Linked DNA regions of Notamacropus eugenii. The protein of the gene in region 1 interacts with the protein of each later gene in a pairwise test. Links are inferred from orthologs where the notes say so. Each region holds a gene or a part of one and is shown on either strand. Other genes may lie near its edges.

Region 1 (9,993 bases):
ATGAAGAATATTCATTTTCAGGAATCTGGTCAGAAGCCCTTTTAAAAGTCTGCCAGGAATTTAAAAATTTAAAGTAGGGGTTCAACGGCCCTCCCCCCAAAAATCCTTCAATAGGACAAGTGAGAAAGGGCAAGGCTGAGCATGGTACCTGTCCCAGCCTGACAGGAAAGTGGGTTGTTTTCTTTCTTTTTTTTTTCCCCACAGGAATGTCTGGGGGAGAAGAGACCAAGCAACATGCGAAGACTTTGCAGGCAACTTTGTCCAGCTTCCTCCCCACCCCACTTCAGTCCCTAATTATTTCTTTTTTTATTTCTCTCGGTGCTACAGTCAGACCCACACCAAGGATGCTCACTCACCCTTCGCTAGGAATGCGCTCCCAGCTGCAGAAGCAGAAAGTTAGAGAGCTGCAGAGGCACCAAAGCTTTCTCCCCCACCCCTCACCCCTAAATATACCCCACCCACACCCGAACTTGGGTCCAGCGCCAGGTACACCGAATATTTTCCTCTAGAAAGAGGGAAATCTCAGATTTGGGGAGTTTGAGAAAGGTTTACAACATAGGACTTAAAAGAGAAGGGGGACAGTCTGCCCCTGGCCCCCTGAGTGCATGCATGCACACACACACACACACACACACACTCTTACACACACACACACACCCCACCTCCTCTACAGGTTCACGTCCTGCTAGTACTGTCTACAGCTCCCCCTTTCCTTCCTGGTGAGCACTCGCTGGCTGCTGCTGCTGCCGCCGCTGCTTCGGCTGCTGCCGCCGCCGCCACCACCAGCAAGGTCGCTGCCGCCCCTCCTGCCACCCTGCCGCACTGGGCTCCGCTGTTGGGTGACTGCTCCTTCTTCCTTCCTTTCTCGCTACCTCCCTTTCTCTCTCTCTTTTCACCGGTCCCAGATTGATTGATTGCCATCCGCGCCCAATAGCTCTGACACCGCACCATCCCCGGTTTTGTACCAAGTCCCCCTACCCACCCGCCCCCTCAGCCCCCCCCTCCTCAACATTATGCCTCCCCAGCGGGCTCCGCTGCTCTGGGTTGGCATCCTCCTGATGGCCAATCCTAAATCGACCCTCGCCAGAGCCCCCCGGAGCCGTCGCCGCCACGGCCACCACCATCCACCCACTGCTGGGCTGGGGCGCCTCGCTTCTGTCCGAGGAGCAAGGAAGAGGGGGCACCACGAGGAAGGGACCTTTGCCGGTGGTGTACAGGGCCATAGGGAGGGTGGCAATCTTTTTCTTGCACTTAAAGTTTTTCCCAACCAGTTTCTGTTTGTCCTCGGTGCTTCACGATCAATGCACCTTTTTTTTGGCCCGCATTTGGACTTCCATGTGATGGGGGTCGGAGGTGGTGGTCAGAGGTGAGAGATGAGTTTTGGGGTGGAGTGGACACCGCGGGAAGGGGGGATCCTGGCTCGTCCGAGCCTTTGTGTATTTCGTCTCATCCCCCTACTCCCACCCGGGTGTCTCCACCTCCCCTTTACGGGAGAAAAAAACAATAATTGCCCTTTCCACCTCCTAGGCCGCAAGACCCTGGATTTGCAAGGCTTCCTAAGCCCTCCTTCGCTTACGGGGACCCTCCACCAGCAACTCCAGCTTCGGAATAAAAAGAAACAATCCCCGGCGATTTTTACTTTTCTTACCCCCACCCTCCACCCCCACCCCAAGCTGTGCTGCTTCCAGCACCCGCGGAGGGGGCGGGGAAGGCGACGGAGGAAGGAGTGAGGTTAGGGTGGAGGGGAAAGGGTGAGAAAAGATACACACACGCATGCACGCACGCACACACACACGCACACACACACACACGCACACACACTCACACAGCCACAGCCACGCGCGGGGCTCCCGGCGCAGAGCCGCACTGCCCCCCGATCACAATGCCTGCCGCTTTTCCTGTAACTGTACTTTGCATTGTGCCCCCCTGGCTGCCCGCCGCCGCGGCCGCCGCCGCTGTTGCCTTGGTCTCCGGCAAACACAATGCACCCCGGCCTAGCCGGGCCGTGCTCTAACATTATAACCCCGAGACTTTCTAGTAAACAGGCGGCCGAGCCAGCATCCCCACCCCCCATCTCCTCTGCCTCTCGCCGCCACCAAATCACTTCCCTTGCAGGGCTCCCTAGCCCCCCTCTTCCCCACCAACCCCCTTTCTTCCTCCACCCCCCGCTAGGAGAAAGACACCCTGGAGAGGTCGGGGTTGGGGGCGGGGGGCGCAGGGAAGGGAGCGAGAAAATGCTTAGTGGGGAAGAAGACAGCTCCTAAAAATAATTCTGTTCCACTCCTGGAAAACAAAACCTCTTGAAACGCTTATTCCGAGTCATACAAATTGCACTAAAGTCGCCTTATTGTTATTATTTTAAAGAGCAGCTAGGAGCAGACGCTGCCTGCTGCCTCAGATCCAGCCCCATCCTCTTCTACTTGTACATGACAAGGCACCTCTAACCCGCGGCTTTGTGTGTGTGTTATTTTTTTCCCCTTCCTTTCCATCTGATTCCACCACCACCACCACCCCCTCCCTTCTCCTCCTTCCCCGCTCCCTCCCACCACCACCCCCCCAACGGGGTAGATTACCTTTCTCTGGCTGGGATGTGGGTCTTGGAGATGCCTTCAGTGCTCTGAAAGGAGCCGATCCATAGGGGACTTGGAAAGAGCTGGTTAGAGAGAGGGAGAGAAGGAGACAGGGAGAGGAGAGAGGCGCTGGGGAGGTGGAGGTTGGTGGAGGCAGGGCAGAACCTTCGACCCTGGAGGTCCCACCGGCTGGCAGGGTTGGGAATGAGAGGGAGAGAGGGAGAGAGGGAATGAGAGCAGCCTCGATCTGAGGAGAAAGAGAGCTAGGGAGAGAGGGAGAGGGAGAGAGGGAGAAGGAGAGCGAGAGGCGAGCTGGAGGAGGGAGCAGAGCAGTGCAGTGACAGGGACTGCCACTGGGGTCAAGAGAGCAGAGCACCAGGAAACAGGGCGGCCAAGGAGCTGTGTGTGTGTGTGTGTGTGTGAGTGTGTGTGAGTGTGTGTGTGCGCGCACACCCAGACACCCAGACACACACACGCCCCGCCAGCTTCTCCTGCAGACTCCCACTTCACTTCCCCCCACTAGGAGAAGGGGGCCAAGGCTTTCCTCGGCCAAAGTGCGGCTCTCCTCCCCTCCGAGGGGAACCTGGGGGAAGAGAAAGGGAGGGGGAAAGGGCTGAAAAGGAGAGAAAGGCAAGGAGCAGATCTGCTCTCTGGTGTCTCAGGTCAAAGGAGGCAGGAGGCAGCTGAGCAGCAAATTCTTCATCATCATCTTTGTTATTCTAATAAAAAATAACCAAGGCGGGAAATTAGAAAGCTGGGGAAATAAGAAGGATTCGCCCTTCTCCACCCCATGGGTATTTTCTGCAAAGAAAACACCCAGCCATGGACCTGCTGTAGCTGTCAGGCCCCTTGGCACCTTCTCAGTCCACCGAGGCTTCTGCTGGGGCTGCTCAGGGGCTTAAGAAATACTCGGATAAATGAAATGGGCTGCAGTTTCTTTCCCGATCTGCTGCTATGAATTCTTACCTTATGGAAGGGCGTCTTCCCTTTTTCAGCCCCTTTTCAACATACACACAGCCCTCTTTTCTGTGATCCTATGGTCTTGATGTGTGTATGATTTTCCTTCACGAAGAAAATGAGGCAAGAGAGGGAAAACTGATATATACATATATATTTTTTTTCCAGCTGCAGAAATTAACTCAAGATCACAATTAGAAAGGGGAGAGGCTAAGAATCTAATTATTCCCACTTTTGCATTTTGGAGACTATTTTCTCCTTCATTCATAATTCCTTATGGGAGGAAAAAAGCAACTTAGAAGTTTTCTTGGCTACATTTTTTAAAAGGAAGAGACTTTCAGATTTGCATGCAAATAATATAAAAGCCCCTTCCCCCCCCCCAAAAAAAAACTAATGAAAACCTAGACAGCAGAGGAAAAGAGAGAAAACATTCTTTGGAAACTTGGTTGATCAGTGCTGTCTGTGAAAGATGAGTTGGCCCTGTGATGTGATGCCATTGTCAGAACTGAGGATTTGGATGACAACCAGGCCTTCTAATTCCTTTCCAGAAGTCAGACTCAAAGATCTAGACGTTCTCCAGAGAGAAATCCAATGTATGTGTATGTGAAAGAAGTGTGCTAAGTACACTATATGACAACTGACCAGACATCCAGCTGAAATTATTGCCCCGGAAAATAAAAAGGAGCCTTGTCAACCCTGGGTCTGTGGCCTTCAGCTGTAAGATGAATTTGTTTTCAGGTTCACTTTGGGGGTGGCGTGATGACCAGGAAAAAACATCAGGCTTCACCTGCAAAAATTACTATAAAGAGGAAATTCCCAGCATTAGAACTAAGGGAAAATTGTCACAATCTCCATCCTTTGCACTGACGTGAAAGGGAAAATAACCATTACGTGGCTGGGAGAGCCAGAAATTATGTTTGTTTAGGGTTTTTTGAAGGGGTATTGGGTGGTTTACAATTAGATGAGAGTCCAAGTTTCAGCGCTGTCAAATTTAGTTGGAATTGAAAGTGCACTGATTTTTCCTGGCTTGTATAAACTCCAAGAACCAACAGAACGGGACACAAGACAGCACTAGGTATGTACCTTTTTGGTTTTCATAATCTAGTAATAAATGATTTCTGTACTGTATTCATGTTTTAGAAGTAATGCTTCTGCCCAGCTCACGGTATGTTTGTATGTGTGTGTGTGTTTGCATGTGTGTGTAGTGTATGGTATATCCCTAAAAGCCTACTAAAGGAACAAACTAGCTTAAGTATTTTGTTTGACTTCTTTCATTACCCAGAAAAGGAGTCAGTTAAAAAAATTGTCATGAGTCAGACTTTTTCACTGTCACTCAAAACAGTCCAACCAACTTGTGCATATAGCTCCAGCTGAAAAAAATACATATATAGAAATATATGTACATGTGTATTGTGTGTATACATGTGTGTATAAATATACATATGAGTGTATACATGTATGTATATGCCTGTGTGTATTTATTATATATGTGTGTATATTATTGCCCAGAGAGCGAGTATAATGATGCCAATACTTTCTGTTTATTAACTCATTTTATACAAAGATTTTTTAAGGCTTAGTAAAAATCAAGTGAATGAAATCTTAATTAGCTGGTGAATTATTCATAATTTGATTTTTCTATTTGGGAAAAATTAAGGCACGTGGAAATTTAGCAACATGTCTTACTTAGTGCATGTTCATGGTGGAAAAAGAAGTAAGACTTACTTCATTTTTTGCTCTTCCGTTACAACTACTATTAGTATCAGAAAGAAGAGATATTAACCATTTCATTTAGATGATGAATTTTGATTTTGCACCGGCTACTTAAGAAAAAAAAAACCCAAACCAATAGCAACCAGAATATGGAGAAAATTAGGTGAATGAACCGAACAGTGAATGAGGGGCAGAAGGTCTTTGTAGCATGGCTTTGTGTTACAATGGGCTTAGATATAGCATCTACAACTATAACTATACAGTGAAGGCCTCATAGAAAATATATAAATTATTTCCCTCGATATTAGTTTTAAAGGGGAGAACTTCACTGTACTGTGTTCCAACTGCTTGGATTGAATTTTTAAAAATAGGTTCTACAACTATGCTTGCTAACAAATTTTTGTATAATGCAATTTTTTTTATTGTTTATAAAATAATACCAAGAAGGATTTTTTTTTTAAAGTCAAATTCCAGAATGATTGTTGTCTCAATGAAAAAACCACCAAAATTGCATCCTTATAAGGCACCTGGTTGAAATTTTCATTCAGGAGTTTGATTGAAGTCACAGAAAGTAACTCTTGGTACACTAATTTAGTGGCTTTTAAAACATCCTTGGCAAATACATTCAGTAGAGAAAACAATAGAGAGTTGAATGGGGAACTTGGGGGTTGAATCTTAAGAAATATATTGAAGGCTCCTTGGCCTTTGGTTTTCAGTAACTGCACCCCAATAACAATATTGTGCTAATCCAGGGATCTATTCAAACTAAGTCCCATCTTCTGCTCTTACTGATTGACATTGTCACTGAAATCACTGCACAGGGAGAAGGCAGCCTCCCTGTTTTCTCCTTGTTCTATAACTAATCTACATTTTTCTAAATACCTAGAATAATGGTTAATCTCCAAAATGGAGGCTTCTAAAATCAGATGGAAATAGAATCCACAGACATAATGCATCAAAACAAGGATTAGTCTACAATGTTCTTTCCCTCATTTTCAATTTAATATTTAATAAACTGTTTTCTTTCTCTTCTTTCCTATCTTTTTTCTTTTCTTCCTTCTTCCTTTTGCTTTCTTGCTCCCTTTCTATCATTTCTTCCTCCCTTCCTCTTTTCTTTATTTCTTACTTTCTTTCCTTATTTCTTTCCTTATTTCTTTCCTTCCTTCCTTCCTTCCTTCCTTCCTTCCTTCCTTCCTTCCTTCCTTCCTTTCTTCTCACTCCAGGTCATCAAGGGAAGGAATTAATGGTTCCCATTTTTTCTGTATGCCTCATGGTGTTCACCTAGCTCAGTGATGCAAACATAAGTAAGTGCTAGCAAATATGAATTGAACAGATGGATGAATGAAGTATCTAATGAAATAAACTATAAAAGAAAATAAATCATTTGTGCTCCACTTGCTTGAAAAAAGTATTTTTTAAAGGTTTAACTTAAAGCTATCATCACAGGATACTGGACAAATACACACGCCTTCTCTTTCTCAAAATATATGATTTCAGAATTTTTACCCAATGTCTTGGCAAATATAGCATCGTGCACATCACAGAGACTCAGTGGGCAAACTAAAAAGCAACTTTTCACACAGTTTTAGGAAATGGAAGATTTGGGTCTCTTTCCCTTAGAGGCATCCACCTTTAAAAAACAAATCTGACTACCAGAAGTATTTTTTATGACGTGTAATATCTTTGGCAGTATGCAAAGGGGGGGGGGGGGAGACAGACATGCTATTTGAAGTTTACAAGAATAACCTTGCCAATAAATACACATCAAAGTAACTTGTATGGTTACTTCAGTTCTTTAAGGAATCCTTGAAGTTCCTCAAATAAAAAGAAAATATTCTGCTCTCTTGTACTTAGTCAGCTAATGTGGGATGGGAAGTCAATTCTGGCTAATTTGTTAGGGCAATCATACCACATCCAGAGCTACTGGGTGAAAACTCAAAGATATGCACACAAAGAAAAGGTTGAAATTGTATTTCAAAAGCATCGTCTCATCAGAAGCTGTAGGATTGAATTGATCCAGGCAGAATGCTTACTAAAAAGAGAAATACTGTATATGTGTTTGAAAAAAATACCCTTTTGCAAAACGGTGACAAGGTCATATACTTAGCACTCTTATGATGCTCATTGAGCCAATATGTAATATGCTTCGATCAATAAGTATTTTTCCAGTGTCCGCTGTATGTAATGTTACGTATCAGCTGTCTAAAGGGAACTAAAATCATTGCTGGAGATGAGGATGATTTTTTTAGAAGTAATAATGAAAACATGGTGACATGGTACCTTAAAGTTTGAACAGCATACACATCCACAAATATATACATATGCACATGTACCTAACACAAATATACAATATGTTTTATATTATTAATATGTACATATATTCTTAATAGACCAAAATTTTAGCTTAAAGTGGGCCTTTGCTTTTGCTGTTCAGTAGTTTCAGACCCATTTGGGGTTTTCTTGGTGAAGATACCAGAGTAGCTTGCCATTTCTTTCTCCCACTCACTTTACAGATGAGGAAACTGAGGCAAACAGGGTTAAGTGACTTTTCCAGGGTCACACAGCTGGTAAGTATCTGAGACCAGATTCAAACTCAGGAAGATGAATCTCCTTGACTTTAGGCCTGGCACTCTACCCACTGTGCCACCTCTTTTTACTGGTATCAATGAATTCTTATTGGGCCTTCCTAGATCTTCCTAGGCTCTCTTCCTGGATAGCCTCCTGCCATATTGGGTATATGCCCAAATTTGGCTTACGTAGGAGAATGTAGCCATGGCTTGGGGTAATTTTGCCATTGTTTCTTTAAAACATACACAAAATAACCTTGTTTGGGAAACAAAAATGCAGGGGAAAAGTGTTTTGTTTTCCTAGTTTTAATAAGCTCATTTATTTACTCACACAAATCGATCAAATGTCTACTACATGCTAGATAGTATTTAGTTACTGGGGATACATAGATAACCCTATTCTGCCCTCAAGAAGTTTCTGTTCTATCGGAAAACGGAAAACATACTAATGCTTTGATAGGATGGTTTTCTTTCGTATTCAAAGCTCTATCAACACCTTTTCTGCAGTTTATACTCTTAGGCAAGAAAGCTTCACCAGGGATCAGTGAACTTGTTCTGTTCTGTTTTTAAATATGCTGATAACTCTATTCCAACAGAATTGGTATCCATTGGCATTCCAAGTGTGTTATTTAATGCATTTAAAAGCAGCATTCTGAAATGGAATCCATAGGCTTTACCAGACTGTCACCGGGTGATTCATGAAAAAAAAATGATGAACCTCTGCCTTTGAGAGTTTCCTAGGACACAGAGAGTTTAGGGGACTGGCCCAAGGCTACCCAGCCATCGTGTGTCAGAAGCAGGAATCTGCTTAGAACACTGAGAGGCTATGTGAATAAAATTTAAAAACCCATTTGTTAATTTTATTAACATGCTTTTTACCAGTTTACTACTTCAATAAATCACTTATAAAAGAAGGTCTATATGCATTTCTATTCTGTCAGAGCTGGCGGGGAAGGGGGAGCGGGGTTTGCAGATGGAAAGGACTAGGGAGCATATTCACCTGTTCACTCCTCTCTGGCAAACCTCTTCAATCTTTTCTCCATCTGGTCATTCCAATCTTACCTCCAAGCCATCTGCTCTCTGTCATTCAAACAGCTCTTAAGATATTGGTGAGGCTATTCAGCCTTCCAAGAACAATCCAAGGGGTAGTTGACCATATCATCTAAACCCACCCTGTTCAAACAGGTAACATAAGACCATCTCAATGAGGAAGAGACTTCAGACATCATCTGTTCTCACTGCCTTTTCTTTACAGAGATGGAAAGCAAGACCTATAAACAGGAAACAGGACAAAGATCTCCAAGTTTGGGCACTTCTCCACCACAACATACTCTAATGCCTCACCTTCACCCTTATCTTTATCGACTCCCATTCCCAGCAACAAGTTTAGACTTCTTTAGACATGTGGCGTACAGATATAATTATTAACTTTATGCAATATAAATACAGTACTCGATCTATTTTATTAATAGATTTGTTCATTCACTACTGTGTGGGGATGAAGTTGAAAAATGTGTTGTCATCTAACTCTTCTGCCCACATCACTAATTCCTCTTCTGTTCTCTAAACTCTAGTAGCCTATGCAAACAGCTAATTTATTTTTACCTGATAATGTTTTTCAAAGTCATAGAAATAATGTCAATTAGCAATGGTTTCCTAAGCCCCTACTATGCTCTAGATACTGTGGGAGGCATCAGGAATAAGAATACATTAAGATACTCCCTATCCTCAAGAAGCTTGCTTTATCCCACCAGAGGATACAATATATTCATAGATTAATAAAAGCAGACTGTAGCCAAAATAAATGAAAAGCAATTTCAGTGAGGGCCGCTAGCAACCAAGGGAAATTTCTAAGTTCCTTGAAAGAAGTAGCACTTGGGTTGACTGACTCTAAAAAGGAGTTAAGAGTTAAAAGATATGGAAGGAGTAAGAAGTGCTCCTCAGACCTGGAGGACATGCAAAGGTATGGAGGTGGGAGATGAAATGTTAAGTAGAGGACAAAGCAAGAAGCATAAACATTAACTGCAACATGTTCCCAGCTCTGCTCCACTTTTGTCCCCTCACCCAGGCAGAAATAAAGGCAATCCAACCCTTGATGAACCCAGAACTAAGAGACGGGTCCTTTGTTCCATTGCACTTACCTGTTACAGCCACTTTCATCCTGCTTTATAAAAGCAGACATCCTA
Region 2 (10,199 bases), on another chromosome or scaffold:
TGATCCTTCTTGCACATGACATCTCCTATAATAGCAATAATGAGAATAATTTACATATCAATTTAAGGTTTACAAGGCACTTTACTATGTTATTTGATCCTTAGAACAACCTTGTGAGATGCTTCTCATCCTTAATTTTTGAAGAGGACCAATGATGACTGGAGTGATGTCTTGACTTGAGTGTGGATTGAATGTAAGCACAGAAGAGTTGTACAGAGTTACAGAGAGCCTCATGCTCTCTTCCAGAGTCACTGAAGTCCAGAAAGACCAGATATCTTGACCACATATGTCACTATAAGGAAGTGTGGACTGGGCCAGGATCCTTGCTATGGTATGTCAGCATGAAATTCATGTGGACTGGTGAATAATCCATCATGTTATATTCCATTTATCTCATTGATAATTTTACTGATGGCACTATAGTTCAATGAGAAAGTCAAAATATCCACAAGAGTAAAGATAGGATTCCAATTCATGAAGTAATTACTTCTTCTTCATTTCTAGGGATCATAGGCAGCTATGGGGCACAGTGGATAGAGGTCTGGACTTGGAGGCAGGGAAACCTGACTTCAGTACTAGCTTCAGATATTTGCTAGCTGTGTGACCCTAAGCAAGTCACTTAATCTTTGTTTCAGCTTCCTCATTGGTCAAATGAGGACAATAATAGGACCTACCACCCAATGTTATTGTAAGGATCCAATGAGATAATAATTGTAAATTGCTTAGCAAAGTAGAAACTTAATACATGCTCATTTCTATCCTTTTGACTGTCAGTCATGATATAGTGATATGATACATTTTGGGGGTAACTAGGTAGTACAATGGATAGAGCACAAGGCCTGGAGTCGGGAAGACCTAAGTTCAAATCCAGTCTCAGACACTTACTAGCTGTGTGACCCTGAACAAGTCCCTTAGCCCTGTTTGCCTCGGTTCCTCATGTGTAAAATGAGCTGGAGAAGGAAATGGCAAACCACTCCAATACTTTGTAAGAAAACCCCAAATGGGGTCTGAAAGGATTGGACAACGTGATATGTTTATGAGTGCACAACGACTATTTGGAGACAGCATGGTGCAGGGGAGAGAGCACTGGATTTGTGGCAGGAAAACTGAGTTCAAGTCCTGGCTCTTTTTTTTAATACATATTTGATCTTGGGCAAGACATTTAGCTATTTATTCTAGGACTCTGCTTCTTCCCTGTAAAATGAAAGGTTTGACTAGGCTACCTCTCAGGCTTTTTCCAACTCAAAATCTATGACCCTGTTGTTGGAGTGAGTGGAATCACTGACTTTTGGCATCATAGGCAAATGCTTCCTGTTATACTTCCAATTATTTCCAAGTAAAGGTATTGTCTCAGGTATCTCTGTCTTACACAAGAACCTCCAAGCCAATTGTCTTGCAAGAAATGATGATCCCCTGAAAGGACATAGACACACAATCCCAAAGTAGGACCTGTACCTCAGGGGACACAGACAAGTTGGCTTTGCCTTTAGCTAACAACCAAAGTTTCTTACCCAAAGCAGGATTTCTGACCTCATGCAAAAAAGTAAAGATGAGGTAGTGACAGCTTTGTGTCTTAAAGTCTTGCCAGATACTGAGCACCCCAGATATAGTCCAGACAGTGTCAGGATACCAGATGGGGTAACCTCAGCAAGTCAGGACAGTCAGATATATAGAAATGATCAACTGTAATGGGGTGGTCCCAAAGCAGCTCTGCCTCTGGTAGAAGAAATCACTCAGAGCCTAAGGGTTCACATGAAGAATTACCCCCACTCCACTCAGTGACCCTCCCAGGTAAAAACAGCCTGTAAGACAAAGTAATCTTTATTTCCTCTTTGCCCAAAGACAGGTCACTGGACCAGATCCCAATTGTCCCAAGAGGACTTCTATATCTGATATAACAGACCACTGCAAAAAATGGAGAGGGTAAGGAGACAATAATGCCATGGCCCTTAGTAGTAGTAATGAAGGCAGTGGTACCTAGCCCACAGGCAACAGTTTGGATAGCAGCCAGAAAAGGAGGGCAATGTTACTCGTTGGCTTGTGGGCCAGGAAGCTCTGATGCAAATGGGGCCATTTGAGTTGACTCTCTTTTCCCCGCCATGACTGTTGTGAGTCAGGACATTGTGAGAGAGACTGGGGCTATTTGATGGTTGTCCTGAAACTCAGCAGTGAGCCTTTTGGGCAAAGGGTATAAAAGCAATATTCTAGTGATGATGTAAGCAGGAAACTTCTGAGATCTCAGGGAATCTTGGGAACTGCTTTTTACCAAAGTTCACCAAATTGATTATTGATTTATGTTTCTTTTTATAGGGATTGAACCCTTACAAAGCACTTTATAAACATTGTCTTATTTACTTCTCAAAGGGCCTTATGGGTAAGTAGTGAAAGTATAATCACTATTTTTTATATATGACGAAACCTACAATGTACTAGGCCCTGCAGATACAACTCCGCCATTAAGGGATTCACTTCCTACTGGAGGAAACAATATGTTAATAAATACCCACACACCCATACCCATGCCCACAACAAGCAAACAAAATGCACAGTGATTAGGGGAGAATTAACACCTGAGGAGATGGAGAAAGATGTCTTGTAGAAGGTAGCACTTGAGATAAAGCTTAAAGGAGCTCAGACCTCCCAGAGGCAGAAGAGAAAAGAGAGAGCTTTCTACGTATTGGGGACAGCCTATGTAAAAGCATACGGTCAAAGGAATGTCATACATGGGGAACAGTAGCAGTTAGTATCAGGGGAAGCTAGGTGGCACAGTGGATGGAGTGCCATGTCTGGAGTCAGGAAGACATGAGTTCAAATCTAGCCTCTGACACCTACTAGTTATATGACCCTGAGTGAGTCACTTAACTCTGTTTGCCTCAATTTCCTCATCTATAAAATGCACTGGAGAAGGAAGTGGCAAATCACTCTAGCGTCTTTGCCAAGAAACTTCAAATGAGGTCATGAAGAATTGGATATGACTAAACAACAACAAAGCAGTTTGATTTGACTGGAGTGTGGGGTACCATAGGGGAACTAATATGTAATCAACTTAGAAGGATATACTAGGGAGAGCCAGATTGAGAAGGATTTCAAATGTCAAACACAGGGCAGTTTATTTTTGAACCTAAAGGCAATAGAGCACCAACAAAGCTTCTGTTGTAAAAATTATGTGACCCTGGATAAGTTACTTAAACACTTTGTGCCTCATTTTTCTCACCTATAAAATGAAGAATATGATCATTGCACTGCTTAGAATTCTTAAGTCTTTCAAAAATGTCCATTATTACAATATTGTTGTTATAGTATATGGTTCTCCTGGTTCTACTTACTTCACTCTGCATTAGTTCATACAAATCTTCCCAGGTTTCTTTGAAACCATGCCTTTTATTATTTTTTTTTTAGTACAACCTTGCATATTTGCCACAAGAGTTTCCTTTTTGAAATTTTTTGAGGGAAATTGAGAGGAAGACAAAATAAGTGCTTTTAAAAATAAAAAAAAAACACTTTAAATGAATGGATTGGACTCTTTCCAACTCTAAAGCTATCATCTTATGGTCATTTGGTTTGGTAGAGCAAAGCATCTCCTTAAAAATTGCCCCTCAACTAGGTACCTTGATTACATATGTCAAAATCCCACAATCTTCCTTAAAAGAGGAACAACAGATGTAACAGATATCTTTGTTCATTGACCCTTGGATTATTGATGTCAACAGAGGCTTTAAAAATGATATGATTGCCACCATCATGGAGAAAAACCAGTGCAGGAAGTTCCCCATTGAAGAAGTATTCCCTATAGACAATCAGATCACTAATCTTGTTTTTAGATGATGTTGTTTTCATCAATCCCTAGAACATGGTAGACTCTTCCAAATTAGATCTATAATCACTCAGAACATTTTGACCTAACTCTTAATTCTGGAAAATGCATGACCTATAATATGTGTGAAGTTAGATAACATAAGGCAACAGTGAGAGGAGTGTCAAAAGAGAAGATTTGATGATGAGGAATTAAGTGAGATAAGAGATAGTTTGTAGGAGAGAGGGTTTTGTTTTTTTTTTTGTACTGCAGAAGTCAGGGAAAGTCTTATGGGAGAAGATAAGAATTGGACTAGGCTTGAAAGATTGAGTAAGATGGTTAAACAGAACAGAGGGGAGGGTTTGCCAAATGAGGAGCCAAATGGCAGGAGCACAGCATTTTAGAAGGATTTAAAACTGGAAGGATTTGAAAGATTTTCTAATCTAAACTCCCTCATGTTAAATCAAGAAGCACCTACTATGTGCAAACACTGTATTAAGTGCTAGGGATACAGAAAAACAAAACATTTCACTTCTCTCAAGGAGCTCACATTCTAATGAAGGGATACAAGTAAACAACTATATACAAAGAGGATATAGACAGGATAACTGTATACAAAGAAGATATAGACAGGATAAACTGAAACTAACCTTGGAGGAAAGGTACTAGCATTAAGAGGGATTAGGAAAGGCTTCTTACAGAAAGCAGGATTTTATAGGTGAGGAAACTAAGGCTAAGTCTTGCCAAAGGTAAATTGCTAAATCAGGATTGGAATCCGGATTTTCTGATTGACCCACCGATATGCTTTCTTGCACCTTACCTCTTAGTACAGGAGGGGGAATAAACATGGATTGTTTGGAGGCTAGAGAGTGGAACAGTCTGGCTGAGGCAGAGTGTTATGTAATCTTCCCAGTAAAATGTAAGTTCCTTGAGGCTAGGGAGTGGTCTTCATTTTGTCTCTGAATCTCCAGTGCCCAGTACAATATTTGGATTGAATTGGTTCCTGAAGCAGGAGAAGTGAAAAATAAGATTGGAAAAGTATGCTAGAACCCCAGATTGCAATCAGTTTCTTAAATGTCAGAAGTGGGATTTTGTCTTGTGGTAACTAGGAGTCATTGATTTCTTTCTTTCTTTTTTGGACAGGAGAGTGAAAAGATAAATATAGTGCTTTGAAATGATTAATGTATTCCTCCACAGAGACATTAGGAAAATAACCCCAGGGTCCAGTCAATACTCCCTCTCTACCTTGATAGGTTGTCGCCTCTCCCACTGTGACTGAGCTGTGTCTAAGAGCATTTCGCAGTTCAATTCACCAGTCTCTCATTTGAGATGTGATAGATGGCAAAGGCTTTCAGAAAATTAGACCAGGAAAGAGTCTCCGCAGAAGCTAAAGGCTACTGTAGTTTCCCACTGCTGCTAGAGAGGGAAACACCTTGAGGGCAGGGGTCATTTTTTCCTTTTGTCTCTTGTGCCTTCCCCAGAACAGAGCCTGGCGCTGTCCAACATTCTGCTCTTCTGTGGAAGGAAGGCTTTCTTTGTTCCTTTGCCAAGTCAGGCCCTCAGGTCCCCCTCTTGGGAATCTCTCAGGTGAAGCTGGTAAGCGACATAAGGGACAACATAGTCAGGAGAACCCATAGCCTGCAGAAAGAAAGCTTTATCTACTTATACTTGGGGAGGCAGAGAGGTACCGTGGTAAGAACACCGGCTTTGGAGTTGGAGAATGAAGTTTCAAATCTTACCTCTATCAACTGTGTGACCTTGGGAAAGTCACTTCAACTCTTTGGGCCCCAATTTCCCCATCTGTAAAATGAGGAAATTTCACTCCCTCCCAGTCCTGGCTTCTGGTTCCATGATCCTATGGCTCAGTCTCTTGCTGTATGCATTGTGCTCTCTTGGAAGAACTTCATTCCTCCCTTTTCCCCAGTTCCTGTCACAGGTCAAATACCAGCTGCAACGAATGGGGAAATGCTAGAGAGAGAGAAAATGCCTTTTTAAATAAAACCATATTTATCTTTTTTTGGAGGGGGAAATATATCACAGAAAGCAAAGGCACCCAAAGAGTCTTCCCATTGCTTGATCCCTCCCTCCTCACTTCTGTCCTATGCCGATGCGGTCAGACATCGATTGGCTTCCCAGCTGATAGAACGCGCCACTGATGGAGCCCTCAGCGAACGTGTAAGGAGCTCAGATAGTTGGGGAACGGAAACCTAGCCTTGAGCTGAAGCTAAGGGGCAGCCCCCGCCGCCGCCGCAGTAGCAGCAGCAGCGGCGGCAGCAGCAGAGGCGGCAGCAACAGCAGCATGCGCCCTGACTTACACACCAGCTGCTGCCGCCACAGCTGCCTTTAACGCACTCTGAAGGCTCTCCCGTCCAGACACAGGCTCCTTCCTAATTAATCTCCGTGAGCGTGAGCGGACAGCCCCTGTACTCCTAGTGGCTGCCAGGGGATGATGATCGCTCTTCCCACACCAAGTTGAAGGAGTCCCGTCTTTGCCTAATAGCTGGGAGAGGCAGCACTATTGAGAAGAGGAAAGAAAGAGAGGAGAGAGAAAGATGAACTGAAGAGTAAACATGTATGGAAATTACTCTCACTTCATGAAGTTTCCTGCAGGCTTTGGCGGTAAGTATGTCACTTGGACGGGGCTAGCTGGACCTTGGTATGATAGAATGAGATAAGGAGGAGAAATGTGTTGTGGGTTCGCTCCCCCCCACCCCCCCAATCCTTCCAGAAAGGAATAATTCACTGGGATTGTTAGAGCAAGTGTATATACACAGGTGTGTAAGAAAGAGAAGTGAGATAGAAGGTGTGTGTGTGTGTGTGTGTGTTTGCGGAGAGAGAGGGAGAATGACAGAGAGGGAGAGAGGGAGGGAGAGAGGGAGAGATACTGTATATTGCATGTAAGTGAGACTGTGTGGTGTGTATAGAGAAGATGAGTTGAAGAGGAGTATTATGGGGGCCGATATGTGTTAGAATGAGTTAAGATACAATAAGAGCATTCATGTGGGAGCTAGTGTGCATGGAAGTAGAATAGTTAATAATAAAAGTATGATTACATTCCTCCTATACTACTTATCAGGAAGAAAAGCTATTGTCAAAGGTTTTGAAAATATTAACCGCCATGAAAAGGCTTGGTAACAATGATAGGGTTGTTTTCTGGAAAAGTACCATTTTCTACCCATCAGACTGAAGTGTTAGGTGTTCTGGAAAAATAACTTGCCATTGTCTTTTCTTTCTTTCCTCTCCTATCCTAAAAATCTTGAATACCCTGTCCTTCTTCCCCTCCCCATGTCATTATTTATATCTGTCATTACCATAATTTCCATATATGTATGTGTGTGAGGGATTTACATACATCATGCATGTAAAAATCTTATTTTTGGTAGTAAACATCAACCTGACTGATCAAGTTTTCCTCTTAAGGAGGGAGCAACATGGACATGATACTACACATGTTGGAGTCATTCCAAGGGCTTTTGTCTAGTCTGGAGGAGAGAAGGCTGGGGGTAGGGAGGCAATGATAAAGGTCCTCAAACATTTGAAGTGCTGGCACATGGAAGAGAGATTGATCTTGCTCATCTTGGCCCCACAAGACAGTTCTAGGAGCAAGAAGGGGAATTCTGAGAGAATCAGATTTAGTCTTGAGGTCTGGAAAACTTCCCAAGCCGTAGAGCTGTTCCGAAGTAGAATGGGGTGCCTCAGGAGGAAGTGGGCTCCCCTTCAATTGAGCTCTTTAAGCAAAGGCAGGATGACCACTTGTCTGGTATGGAAGGAATTCATTTTTTTCCGGGTATAGACTGAATTATGAGAGGTCATTTTTAACTTCAAGATTCTGTGGAAGACTTTTTCCACAAAAGAGCAATGGGTAATCAGTTCAGTCAGAAAACAGTTCTTTTAGTGGTAGAATCATCCAAATGGGTTGTCTGGCAGTATTTAAACCAGATTCTTGTTATTATTCACCCTCCCTTCTTGAAAACAGACCAATGACATCAGGAGGGTGATGTTTTGACTTGCAAGTGAGTTGGATTTAAGTGGGGCAGGACTGTGCAGAGTCATCAGCCTCACTCTCCTCTGGAGTTGTTGAAATCCAGTGGCAAGATACAGGTCAGGATGACTGGCAATGGCCTCGGATGCAATGGGGGCCCCTGGTCTTTTGAAGCTAAGGTCTTTCCTAGGTCTCAGTTTGTCTTGAGAAAGTGCCCATTCAGTAATTAAAGGATGGGTAAGAATTGAGGCAAAAGATGGCCTAGTTTGCCTTCATAAAAGAATCTGGGAGGGAAAGACTCTCAGAGTTTCTGGCAGAACCATTTAGACCAAATAAATGACTGCTTGACCAGAGTTCTCACTTCTAGGCTGGTGGCTGGGGTTCCACACAGTTTCACACAGTCTGTAGTAGCCATAGTGGAATCTTTGCCATGTGTCACTTTCAGGCAGCACAAGGCAGAGTGAAGGGACAGCAGCCCCACCTCCTCCAAGCTATATACCAGTAGGATACAGACAGGATAAAATAGAAATAACCTGGAAGGGAAGGCACCAGCATTAAGAGGGAACTTACAGGGGTGAGACTTTACAGGTGAGAAAACTAGGACTGAGCCCAGCAAGGCAGAGATTTTTTTGAAATTCTGAAGGCAGAATCCTTTCTCACTTCCTCACTGGACAGGTAGCCAATTCATCCAGAGTTATCTGGATCTAAAAACTCCTGATGATTAGTGGATCTTTCCTCTTGTCATCCATCTTTAGAGAGAAGGACATTTTCCCAGGTATTAGGATACCACAGAGTGAATCAGTCCAGAAAGTGGTCAGGTCCATCGGCAGTAGAGGAGACCAGCGTAAGACTGTAGCACAAGAATGAAGGATGGGTTGGATTGAGGCTAAGTGGTGACTGATGAAGCTTCATGCAGCAAGTTGTTATCTGTCTCCAGTCTCCAGTAAGATACTGGGTGTGAAAAGACTTCTGAACCCCAGGGTTAGGGTGTGTGTCATGGACGCAGAATTGTAAACAGCTGCTTTCTTTCTCTTGGAGTACAATTGCCTCAGGAATGTACTTATGTGGGACCATTCTTTTCCAGGACCTTTTAAGTTCTTTACTTATAATAATACTCTTTTGATGAAAGAAATTTTTTTTTTGTTATTTTGTCTACCGCTTGGTGAAAAGCTATGGAGAGGTGCGTGTGAGGTGAATTGAGGTGGTTGTGGGGGGATAAATTAAAGTAAAGAGAAATGAGAGGAATCTGAACAAAGTTTAGGTTGTGACGAAATATATCAACCTCAATTCAGATATCCAGCACAGTGCTTTGCACTTGTAGGTGCCTGATAAATATTTGTTGAATTCAACCAAATTGAATTCAGGGGCTCTTTCTCCTAGATTTTGAATTTTTAGAGATTCCTTTTATCTTAAAGAGAGATCATCCCATTTTTTCAAATGAGGAAATAGAAGTTAATGACCTCTCCAAGGTCACAAAGCTAGTTAGTGACAGAGACCTCTGAAGGAAGAGCTTGAATTATCAGGGTTATGTTACTATTATATAAACTTAAAATCATCAAAATTATATTTTTCAGAGAGTAACATTATGTAAACGAGAGTAAGGAAGACCTGTGTTCAACTCCAATGGCTGTCACATACTAGTGATGAGAGCATGAGAAAGTGACTTAACCTCTTAGTGCCCCATGTAGCTCTATGATTGTTGGTTTGATGGAGAGTGTCAACACTGGGACTTCCTCAGTAAATGTGTAGGGCTAGATCAAATATATTCATAGAATTGTAGGATGATGCATCTAGACTCTAAATGTATTAGCCTATGATTTGTGTACAGAGCAGGACAGGACCTTACAGGAAACAGACCCAGATAATGTAGTGTCCATTGCAGAATTTGAACCAAAGTCTTCTGACCGTAGAGCTGGTAATCTTTTCACTATGTCCAATCTTTTCAAATAAATATATGTAAATTCATTAGAAATATCACTTTGTAAACATAAAACCAAGATCATTTTCTGAAGAACAAATGTAGTTGCTGTTACAATAATAAAAACAAAGTTTCTATAAACATGGAATTTATTTGGTAATTATGACCCAGAGTTTGATGTGATTAGGTTTCCGTTGGTAAAAAGCACAAACTTTCATAGTGATGATGACACTCCAAAATGTGAATGGGGAAGGGGAAAAGGGGCACAGATGTAACGGGGATGGTTGGGAGAGTAAGGCTAGAGAGACAGTTACCTAAATTAAGTATTTTCCTCTCAGACTCAAGAGAGAAGAGCAGTGAGGGTTTGGATGAGCTCTATTGATTCTCCACAACTGTATTTGAATACAACTAGAAATTTGCACCAAAGCACAGGGCTCGAGTATGTCAGATACAGGTGCTTAGCATCAAAGTGATGTGCACTGGTCCAGGGCTTGGGGAAAACACTG
Region 3 (10,569 bases), on another chromosome or scaffold:
CATATAAGGACACTCTCAAGGTCTCTCTCAAGAACTTTGAATTTGATTGAGGGACATGGGAGACACTGGCATAGGACCACTCAGCATAGTGTGCCCACATCAGAAAGAGTGCTGTGCTCTATGAGCAAAGCAGAATTGAGATAGCACAAAGTAAGTGTAGGACGTGCAAATTTGGAGTATCCCCCTCAGGTGTTCACACAGACTATTTGTGCCCAGTCTGTGGTAGAGCATTCCAAGCTCATATTTGTCTGTTCAGCCACAGTTGGACACATTGAAACTTGACTTTATCATGGTGATGTCATTTTGGTCCTCTTTGAGAATGAAAGACAACAGCCAGACACTGCTAAGTACTGGGGGTATGAAAAGAGGCAAAAGATAGTCTTTGCCCTCAAGGACTTACAATCTAATGGGAGAGATGACATAAAAAACCCCCACAAAACAAGATATATCCAGGTGTCAGGACCTCCAAGGCAAGACCACTCCTCTCTTTTCTTACTATTAGGAGAAACCTTGTTTTCCAGAGCTAAGGCCTAGTACGCAATATGTGCTCTGAATTTGGCATAACAAAAATCCTTTGTGCTCATCCTCTGCATGAATTCTGCTGCAGTTAAATCACAGAATTCGATCTAGCCAGTCCCAGGTGGTTCCTGAACTCAGATAAGCACCTGCATGAACCACACTGTGGTCATGAAGCCCTACTATGCATAAACTTTTTTGCCACTAGGCAAATTTGCCTCATTGCTTTGGTTACACCTCACTGTCTGGTTCTTTGTCTATCCACAACTGTATGTATCAAGGCTTAGCCTCAAAGCCGTGGGTCTCCTCAGTCTTAGAGGAGGCCCTGGAACACGTTTAGTTTCCCTCTTCCAATGGAATAAAGAAGGCTTTTTGCTCATAGCCTGAGAGCTTACGTTTTCAGCGTCAATAGTTGAGGTACAACCTCCATGAGCTCTTTGGTATTTTCAGAGTTAACACTTGGTGTGTAACTTCTGTGGCTCTTTGGTTATTTATTTTCAGGTGACACAGGATAAATAGGAAATAATTAGCAGAGGTGAGGTGCTGGAATTAAGAGTAGCTGGGAGAGGTTTCCAGTAAGAGATGTGATTTTGGTTGGGTCTTAAAAGGAAATCAGGGAGGTCAGGAATTGGAAGAGAGAAGGGAGAGTGTTCCAGGCATGGGGGATGACCAGAGAGATACCTGGAGTTAAAAGATGGAGCCAGGAGGCCAATGTCATTGGATCAAAGAGTACACAGTGTGGAGTGAAGTGTAAGAAGATTGGAAAGGTAGGAGGGAACTAGGTTATGAAGGTATTTGAATGCCAAAAAAAAGAACATTTTGTATTGGTTCCTTGAGGTAATAGGAAGCCTGGAGTTTAATAAGTTGGGATGGGGTGACATGGTCAGACATGAGCTTTAGGAACTTTACTTTGGTAGCTGAATGGAGAGTGGATTGGAGCAGGGAGAAACTTAAAGCATGAAGATTATTTCAAGCTATTGCAATAATCAAGGCATGAGGTGATGAGAGCCTGTACCAGAGTGGTGGCAGCATCAGAGGAGAGAAGGGAGGCAAATTCAAAAGATGTGAAGGCTTTGACAAAAACTTGGGTGTGGAGGGTTAGAGAGAGTAAGGAATCCAGGGTGATTCCTAGGTTGTGTGAAGGGGCCTGTGACCTTGTTTTCTTGAGTTGCCTTATTTTCCAGAGATGAAGCCCCCCTGAACTAACATAACAGTGATTTTTTGCAGTTGGACTTTATTAAACTCTCAGCGTGCCCTTGAAGCTAAGTCAGCTACAAACCTGGCTCCGACCAACATAACCCACAGTGATAAACTGTGTAGTTGAGACCCTTTTGGATAAGCAGAATATCTTTCCTCCATGGGGAGGAGGAGGAGATTGAGCTTCTGCCTTTCTGCTTCCTCATCCTACTGCTCCCTTTCCCTTCCCATGCCACTATCCTTTGAGAGGCAATTATTGCCTTTCTCTCATCCCATAACCCTTACATATTCAAGGCCTTGCCTGCATTGTTGGCTTCCTCTGCACTCTATACAAGAAGGGACCTAGAATGCATGTTCCTGCAATAAAATAAGTTATGACTTAAGTCTTTTGGAGTTGTGACCACTTTTGAACAGTTGTGAGCCTGAGGCATAGGGAAGAAGGTGTGGCTCTCTATAGTAACAGGGAAGAATGGAGGGCAGCTAAATGGCACAGTAGATCTGAGTGCTGGGTCTGGAGTCAGAAAGATGAGTCTAAGTTCAAATCTAGCCTCAGACACCTACAAGCTTCATGACCCTCGGCAAGTCACTTAACTTGGTTAGCCTCAGTTCCCTCATCTGTAAATGAATTGAAGAAGGAAATGGTGAAACCACTCCAGTATCTTTGCCAAGAAAACCCCAAATGGAGTCACAAAGAGCTGGATGTGACTGATCAACCAAGGATGGCAGGGTTTAGGGGGAAGAAAATGAGTTCCATTTTGGACATATTGAATTTAAAATATCTACTGGAATCCAGTTTTAGATGTCTTAAAAGGCAGTTGGAAATGCAAGATTGGAGAATATCAGAGAGATTTGGACAAGATAGGCAGATTTGAGAATCATCAGCATAGAACTTGTAATTAAATCCATGGGAACTGAGCAGATCTCCAATAATGAAGCCCATGAGAGTTGATGATGTCAATTAAGCAAGAAAAGAGAAAAAAGGCCAAGGACAAACATTACCACAGTTAGGGGTATACCCACTTTTCAGAATTTGGACATCCAGCAAAGGAAATGGAGAAGAGGTCAGATGAGTAACACCTAGGAGAACCAGGAGGAAACATTGACATGAAAACTAAGAAAGGAGAGAGTATATAGGAATATGAGAGGGTCAACACACTCAAATGCATCTGACAGGTCAATGAGAATGGAGAGTGAGAGAACATCAGAATAAACACTGGCTATTTCGGAGAGAACAGCAGAGATGAGGCCCAAAACTAGACTGCAAAGGGTAAGATAATGTATGTAAAGCACTCAATACCCCTTAAGCCTGTATAAATGTGAGTTTGGCATTCAAAGCTTGCTGAATTTTTAAAAAGAAAGTGTTGTAGTCTATCAATTTTGATTGAGGACTCAAATTTCTAGTTACCCTCTGCATCTGTTCACTCTTCATAGTGCAGTAAACTACACCCCTCTTCCCCCAGACCCCCTCTATACAATCTGGGCAAAACGCTTAAAAAACAAACTCCAGAGCCTAAGTTAGGCTTTCTTCCCTCTCCCCATCATATCCCTGGGCTTTAGTAACACAGTACTGCCCCCACTTCTTTTAGAAGCCATATATATACCTGAATCCATTTACTCCACAGCTGTTCTTTTAAAAATCCAGCTGTTACATTAATGCTCTTTTGAAAAAAATAAATGTGTGGTATTTTCCTCCCAACTCTCCCTCATACCCCAATCAGTCCTTCGAGGTAAAACTAAAAAAACCCAAAAAACCCAATATAATTGGCCACGTGGGATAACTTGTAATATACCTCATTCCGCACCGGTAGCACACCACCCCTTTCTGGAGAGGCAAAGCACATTCCTGCTCTTAAGGTAGAGTTAAAGAGGAGACTTTGCACTTACAGGAAAACACTAGAAGATTCATCGTTTTCTTTAAGAGTATGTTTTTTCATTTTTCAAAGTTCTTTCACATTTCTCTTTTGATGGTCACCAGAGCCCCCCAACAGTTTTTAAAAATGCTCATGTGCTCACTTTCGGGCTCCATTGAGCGTTCCTGGGTCTGCAGCCCGGGTCTAGTGCTTCGTTCCTCCCGCACGGCCTGCCGTGTGCGGGAAGAGAGGTGTGGGACCTCTTACTCCCACAGATGGCTTTGGAAAATAAAGGCTGTTGGGAGCCAGGCGGCGCCAAGATTCCACAGTTGTGACAACTTGCCCGCGATCAGCCAATCCCAGAGCGAAGAACACGCCTGACGCGTTCTCTAGCCCCGCCCCTCTCCTCACGTGTCTTCAGAAGCTCAGGGCGTGGATTGGCTGCAGCTGTACGGGGGAAGGGGGCGGAGCCAACGGCCGAGCTGGTCTATGTGGGCCTATTGCACCCGTGCTTCTTTATTTGCTCCTGCCGTGGTGACTCCAGTTACCAACTTCCGGTCTGCCAGGACTTTCTCCGGGGTTCGGTGAAGTTAAAGGAACAGTCGTTTATCCGTGCTGTCGTTGGCTAACTCGCGGAGTCCTTGGTTTTTTTGGGGGGGAGGGGGCGTGTTTATTGTTTGTCCCTTTCGGCTCTCCGTACCTTCGTGAATTCCAGCCGTTCTGCTCTACGTGTGGAGCACGCGGCTTGCGTGGAAGAGCCGGAGACCACGTGGGCCCGGGGAGTGACGGGAGCATCCTCGGAGCCGGGGCGCCCGGAGCCCCTGCAGCTTCCTGTGCCACCGGCACCCCATCGAGCCCCGGCGGGCGAGCGCATCCTGCTTCCGCCATGAACTACCGGGAGCAGCTCATGAGCCGGGCGGTCCCGGGGCAGTTCGATGATGCTGACTCCTCTGACAGGTGAGAGGACCCGAGCGGCGTGCGTGGGGCTGGGGTCCCATCCCCCTGCGCTCCGGGGCTCCGTCTCCTCTGCCCCGCTTCCTGCCTTGGGCCGCAGTACGTGGCCGCACGCAGACCCTCCGAGCTAAGGGTCCTGCAGACTCCCCCCTTTAAGTGTTTGGGGTCAGGAGGTGTCTTTGTCATCAGAGCCCATCATTCCAAGCCTTTCACCGAGTTGATTTTATTTCAGTTCAGTTTCTTTGAGGAGCGAACATCGTTGTCCACTTGGCCCCATCCTTGACCCTCTCTCCTCCACATCAAGCTAAAGCCATCTGCATAATCAAACGAAACAATTTCTGCTTTGGACTTGTCCAAAAGATACAGCGTGACCCAAAAGTCTTGGTGCTTTTTAAAACCGTAGGAAGACTTTGGGTGTCTATGTTTACTGATTTTTTTGTACCCTAAAGTCCATCCCCTCTTTTTCAGGAGGTAAAGTAGCATATTTCATCATAAGTTCTCTGGCATTGTTTCACTTTTTTTTTTTGGTGTGGTCCTTGTCCTATTTTTTTTTTTTACTTTTCCCTCTAAATTTATTCATTTATTTGTTTTCAATTTTTCGCAATCACTTCTGTAAGTTTTAAATTTTCTCCCCTTCCCTCCCCAAGGCAGCATGCAGTCTTATATGGGCTCTATACACATATTCTTATTAAACACATTTTCGCATTAGTCACATTGCATAAAAGAATTAAAACGAATGGGAGAAAGCATGAATGAAACTAAACAAAACCAAACATAACAAAAGAAAAAATAGTCTGTTTCAATTTGGGTTCTGACTCCATTGTTCTTTCTCTGGATGTGGGTGACATTTTGTATCAGGGGTCCTTTGGAAATGTTTTAGATCCTTGCATTGCCTTAGCTATTTTCAAAGGCTACGGTGATATTTTGTTAATATGTCCACAATTGCAGTGTTGTCGTAAACACAGTAGTGTGTACATTGATTCCAGATGTCTCAAAATACAGCATTTTGTGCCTTTTTAAAAACAACACTTAAAAAAGTTTTCAATTAACAATAAATCTTTGTTTTTGTTTTACCTATGGGGAAAAAATCCCAGAATCCTTGGGATAAATATGCATAGTGAAACAAAATAAATCCCTTTCTTGGCCATTAAATATATATCTTAATCTGCACCCGTTTGTATTTTTTGAAGTTTGTTTAGTTATTTTAAAAAATTAACTTTGATTAAGTTTTTATTTCTTTTTGTAAAAGTGTCTCTTATTATTAAATGGAAGTACAAATGCCTTGAATTTCCTAATGACTTGAGATTCACACATCTGTGGCATTTTTGTCATGTTACCTTAGATCGCATGTAACATCATCTGAAAAATTCCTGTTTTTAGTGGAAGTACAACCAGCATGGAAACAAGCCAAGAGGAGGAAGATACATCTAAAAATTCTCACCAGACTTTGAATGAAGTTGATGAAGAAATTCAGGAAGATGATTATGAAGATTATGATGATGATGATGATGATTGGGACTGGGATGATGAAGTTGGGAAAATTACTAAGGGCTCTTGTTCATCTGGAGGCAGTAACCCACAGGTATTTTATAAATGAGTTTTTGATATCTTTCTAGTATGTACCTGTTTGCTTTTAATACAAGCTTTCATATCTACTGTATTGCTCTAAAACAAGATCAGCTAACCTTTTTTTCTGCCATGGTCTACTTTGATAGTCAGGTGAAGTCTGTAGGCCCCTTTTTGGAATGTTTTGTTGCCTACAGTCATAATTGGAGGAAATGATAAAATTCAGCTAAAAGGTTAGTGAAAATAAAGATGTAATTTTTTTCCCATTCAGATTCACTGACCCTCTGAAATATAGATTCTGCTTTAGAACTTAATACCTAGAAAAGATCAACTAGAATGATCTTTTCTTCTTGCTAATTCATTTTTCTCTATCTCTATATTTTGTTTTTAACATTTCATTCATTTCCAAATATAGCCTTCCCTTGATACAAAGAAGAAAATGGGAAAAAAACCAATTCATCAAAGCCAACTCATTCACAGTGTATGACAGAATATGCAAGCTTTCATACCTGCCTTTCTCAACTGTTCAGTTTTTATTCTGGTTTTTGAAAGGTGAGGTGATAATGCACCTTGGGTCATACATCTAGAACCGGAAGGGACCCAAGAGCCCATCTCTTCCAGACTCCTTGTTGTATGGGAGTTGTATGGGAGATGAAGACTAGCAGTAAATCTAGAGGTGGAATTGGAAGTTGGAGAGCCCAACCCAATGTTTTTGCTATTGGACCACACTGCCTCCATAGGGGACTGCATGTACTTATTTTGTGTAAATTAAAATCTAACATTTATGGATCTATAAAAGAAGAACTTAACAAATAATCTAAAACTACACCTTATTTGCAGAGGTAGAGAACTATAATTGAATGTTTTTCTTTTTTTTCTTTTATTCTTTGTGACAAGATTCGGCCTTTTGGTAATTGGGGAGAGACATTTGGAAATCAAGACGTAAAAAAAGTATAAAGAAAAATTAAAAATAAGATTTTTATAACACTAGGGAAAAATAATCTTACCTATGCATTGTGGTATAATGGAAAGAGGTCAGAACTTGAAATCTAGAGAGACTTGAGTTAGAATGCTGCTTCTGTGACCATAGGCAAAACCTGTCTCTGAACCTTAGTTTTATCAACTGTGAAATGGAAGTAATTCCTGTAGTGCATACCTTATAACATTGTTAGGAACATGCGTGCCCACACATACACACACACACACGCTTTTAATAATCTTAAAAGTGCTATGTAAGTGTCAGTTATAAAAATAACTTGGGTCAAGCAGAGTTGAGTATTTAACTAGGATGATTTATTATTATACTTTTGGTTACAGTTTATAAGTTTGTGTTTATATTTGTTAATTGTAGAAATTTCAGGCCAAAAAACTCTCCTTTTTATCTTTATTTTCTGTTTATTTGTGATTTATATATTCCATGTAATGTTTTTTTTCTCTTCAGGATATTCTTTTCTTCAATTTTTATTGGATACCTAGTAAGTGCTTACTGTGTAAGCATTGAGGAAGCAAAGGAAGGTGAAATGGTTCCTTTGCTCTAGGAGATCACATTTCAGTGGCTGAGACATATCCCCACCAGTCTACATAATATGTAACGTTTCCCTGTATGGAACATTGTTTCATTTCATTTTTATTAAGTGCTTTTTGTGTTCTGGGTACTGGGGAGAAACAAAGGAAGGAAAAAGCAGTCCCTGTGCTCTCAGAGCTTATATTTTAATGACTAAGACATTATAAATAACTTAGGTCCATACAACATCTGTCCAGAGTAGATGGGAGGCAGTCTGACTAAGTAGGACACTAGCATCTATCTGGTAGAGAAAGACCTCTTGCAGAAGAAGAGATTTGAGTTGAGTTGAGTCTTGAAGGAAAAACCAGGGAAGTTAAGAGGTGAGGTGAGGTAGGATGGGGGTGGAGGCCAGTACAGTGGCACAGAGATGAGAGTGGAAGTGCAAGTGGGCCAGCGTTTCTGAGTCATTGAGTATGTGGAGTGGGGTAAAGTACAGGAAAAAGGCAGGTTAAGAAGGGCTTTAGATGCCAAAGAGTTTGTTATTGGATCCTGTAAGCAATAGGGAGCCATTGGAGCTCATGGAGCAGGGGGATCAGCATGATCACATCTGTGCTCTAGAAGGATCACCTTGGCAGCTGAATGGAGGCTGGATTGGGGTGGGAAGAGACTTGAAGCAGAGAGGCGTTAAAAAAGATATAGCAGAGGTATGGGAGAGGAGATGAACGCCTGAATTAGGGTTATAATTGTGAGTGGAGAGAATGAGACATTTGAGAGATTTTGAAGGTAGAAATGACCAGATTTGGCAACAGATTATGTTGCAGAGGGATGCAAAAGTAGAGTCAAAGATGAAACCAAGGTTGTAATTGAGAGCATGGTGGTACCCTTAAGAGTAATGGGAGTGTGGAAGGGGTATTTCTGAGGAGGGAGGGAAGAAAAGGCTAATATTTTCTCTTTTGACCATGTTGACATTAAGATAACTACAGGACATCAAGTTCCAAATGTCCAAGATCCAATCAGTGATGAGGGTCTGTAGCTTGTGAGAGAGGCTAGAGCTGGACATATGTGTATTGAGGAATCATCTGCATAGAGATAGTTAAACATGTGAGAGCTGATACGTCACCAAGGGTGGTAACAGAGCAAAAAGAAAAAGCATACCAGTGATTGAGCCTTGGAATGAAGGTCATCTGCAATTAGTGGGCATGACTTAGGTAAAGAACCAGCAGAGGAGCCACATAATAAAGAGAACCATGAGAGAGCAATCATAGGCATCTGGAAGGGAGAGAGAATCTAGGAGATCATCAACAGTGTCAGGTGCTACAGAAAGATCAAGAAGAATGAAATTTGAGAAGATTTACCCTTATGAGCTCAGTGGCAGTGTTAAAGAGGGCAGCTTCAGTTGAATGATGACAAAATAGCCAGCAGTTATATAGCTTTAAAGTTTGCAAAGTGCTTGACATAGAGTGTCTTATTTAATCCTCACAATAACACTGTGAGTTAGATTGTTACTCTCATCCTATGGACCAGGTTATGAATGGCTTTGGGAGCCAAATTGAGGTTTTTATATTTGATATACAGTATCAAATACAGTATACAATGTGTCTAAAAGAGAGAGAAGATAGAAGGTATCTGAAAGAAGCAATAATACCAAAGACATGGAAAAATCTCAGATCTTGTTAATACTGGGAAAAGTAACCAAGGAAAGATAGTTAGCTACAGTCCTACATTCCTACACTCTCATCTAAGGAAAATCTTTGAGAGTTTTATATAAATAAATATATGGGCATACACATGCATATGTATGTACACACATAAATTAAGGGCTTCTTTCATGAAGGTATTATTAGTAAACAAAGGAAGCATTTTCAAAAAATGATCAACATCGGACCACGTCTTTACCATTTCACAGTTAACTAAAATGTAAAGACTATATGAGCCCGCTGTGCTAATTGTAAATTATGAAAAAGCATTTGATTTGGTAGAACACATATGCCATTGTATGATCTCTTCTATAGAAAAATGTCTCTTAGTCATACATTGTGATTCAGGATTCCTTGGAAGATGTAAGAACAGTAGTAACTGTTCAATGACAAGAAATGTTAGTTGAAGCATAAAACAGTGAGATGTATTCTTATCAAAGATTCCCCACTGATGATGGGAAGAGATAAAAGTGCAGTGCCCATCCATTGATGGTGAGATGTTCTAGATGAGCTTGTTTGCAGATGGCATTGGGCTGACTGCATCTTCCCTCAGGGTATTGCAGAGCCTCTTCAAAGAGATCTGTAATCACTCAAAGGAGTTTGACTGTTCCATACATATAGGAAAGACTAAGTTGATGAAGAATGTCCTTTTGAAGAATGAATGAAGAGTGCTCAGAATGAAGAATGCTCATATTTCAACAACTCTGGATGTTGTCCAACTGCGTGTAAATAATCTGACAGTGGGTGAACTGGAATCAGATTTGAAAAGGAGGGGAAGAGAGGACTAGATGACTTTGAGGGAATTGCAAACTTTTTTAGTGACCTCAAGCTTCATATGAAAGCAACGATATCATTTTTGATATTTGTATTTTACTGGTGTTGCTATACAGCAGCAGTGCGTTGTGGAACAACATCACTATCTCCAAAGAACTAAAGATGAGTGAATATTAGAGAGTGATGGGATGCTGATAAATAGGCAGTAGTAACTCCAAAGAGGAACAAAGGTAGAGGGTGTCTGAGGAATTGTAAGGTAAGAAAATGAGATGGATTGGCCACAAGGTGAAAGCAAGAGATAAATAGGTGTACAATCAAAGTGCTTAACTGGTATTGATGATGTTGAACAAAAGCAAGAAAGGCCCTTGGCATGGTAAGATAACACACTGTGGTGAACTTTTAGGTGAAGCTGGATAAGTCTTTCACAGTCATCAATAGATTGTGATCTGCATTGATGGAAGTTGCTTTTGAATTGGTGAGATCATAGATGCATTTGAGTACTTACTCTACT

The links. The genes of interacting proteins can lie anywhere in the genome.
Region 2: the proteins of MPPED2 (region 1) and RXRG interact in binary tests that used the Homo sapiens proteins (3 or more experiments, as listed by UniProt). The two-hybrid records come from large-scale screens. The link is inferred for Notamacropus eugenii from reciprocal best matches to the Homo sapiens genes MPPED2 and RXRG.
Region 3: the proteins of MPPED2 (region 1) and CAGE1 interact in binary tests that used the Homo sapiens proteins (3 or more experiments, as listed by UniProt). The two-hybrid records come from large-scale screens. The link is inferred for Notamacropus eugenii from reciprocal best matches to the Homo sapiens genes MPPED2 and CAGE1.

The regions. Positions count from the first base shown.
Region 1 is NC_092877.1:20,714,205-20,724,197, reverse strand, and holds the start of MPPED2 (metallophosphoesterase MPPED2), read right to left. Parts: upstream 3,912-9,993; 5' UTR 2,574-3,911; intron 908-2,573; exon of another isoform or gene 663-907; intron 1-662. UniProt on the Homo sapiens protein: Displays low metallophosphoesterase activity (in vitro). May play a role in the development of the nervous system.
Region 2 is NC_092873.1:481,224,281-481,234,479, forward strand, and holds the start of RXRG (retinoic acid receptor RXR-gamma), read left to right. Parts: upstream 1-6,173; 5' UTR 6,174-6,363; coding exon 6,364-6,412; intron 6,413-10,199. UniProt on the Homo sapiens protein: Receptor for retinoic acid. Retinoic acid receptors bind as heterodimers to their target response elements in response to their ligands, all-trans or 9-cis retinoic acid, and regulate gene expression in various biological processes.
Region 3 is NC_092875.1:177,888,407-177,898,975, forward strand, and holds the start of CAGE1 (cancer-associated gene 1 protein), read right to left. Parts: upstream 4,027-10,569; 5' UTR 3,740-4,026; coding exon of another isoform or gene 3,727-3,739; 5' UTR 3,620-3,726; coding exon 3,598-3,619; intron 1-3,597. Other genes in the region: RIOK1 (serine/threonine-protein kinase RIO1), read left to right, coding at 4,450-4,520, 5,898-6,099.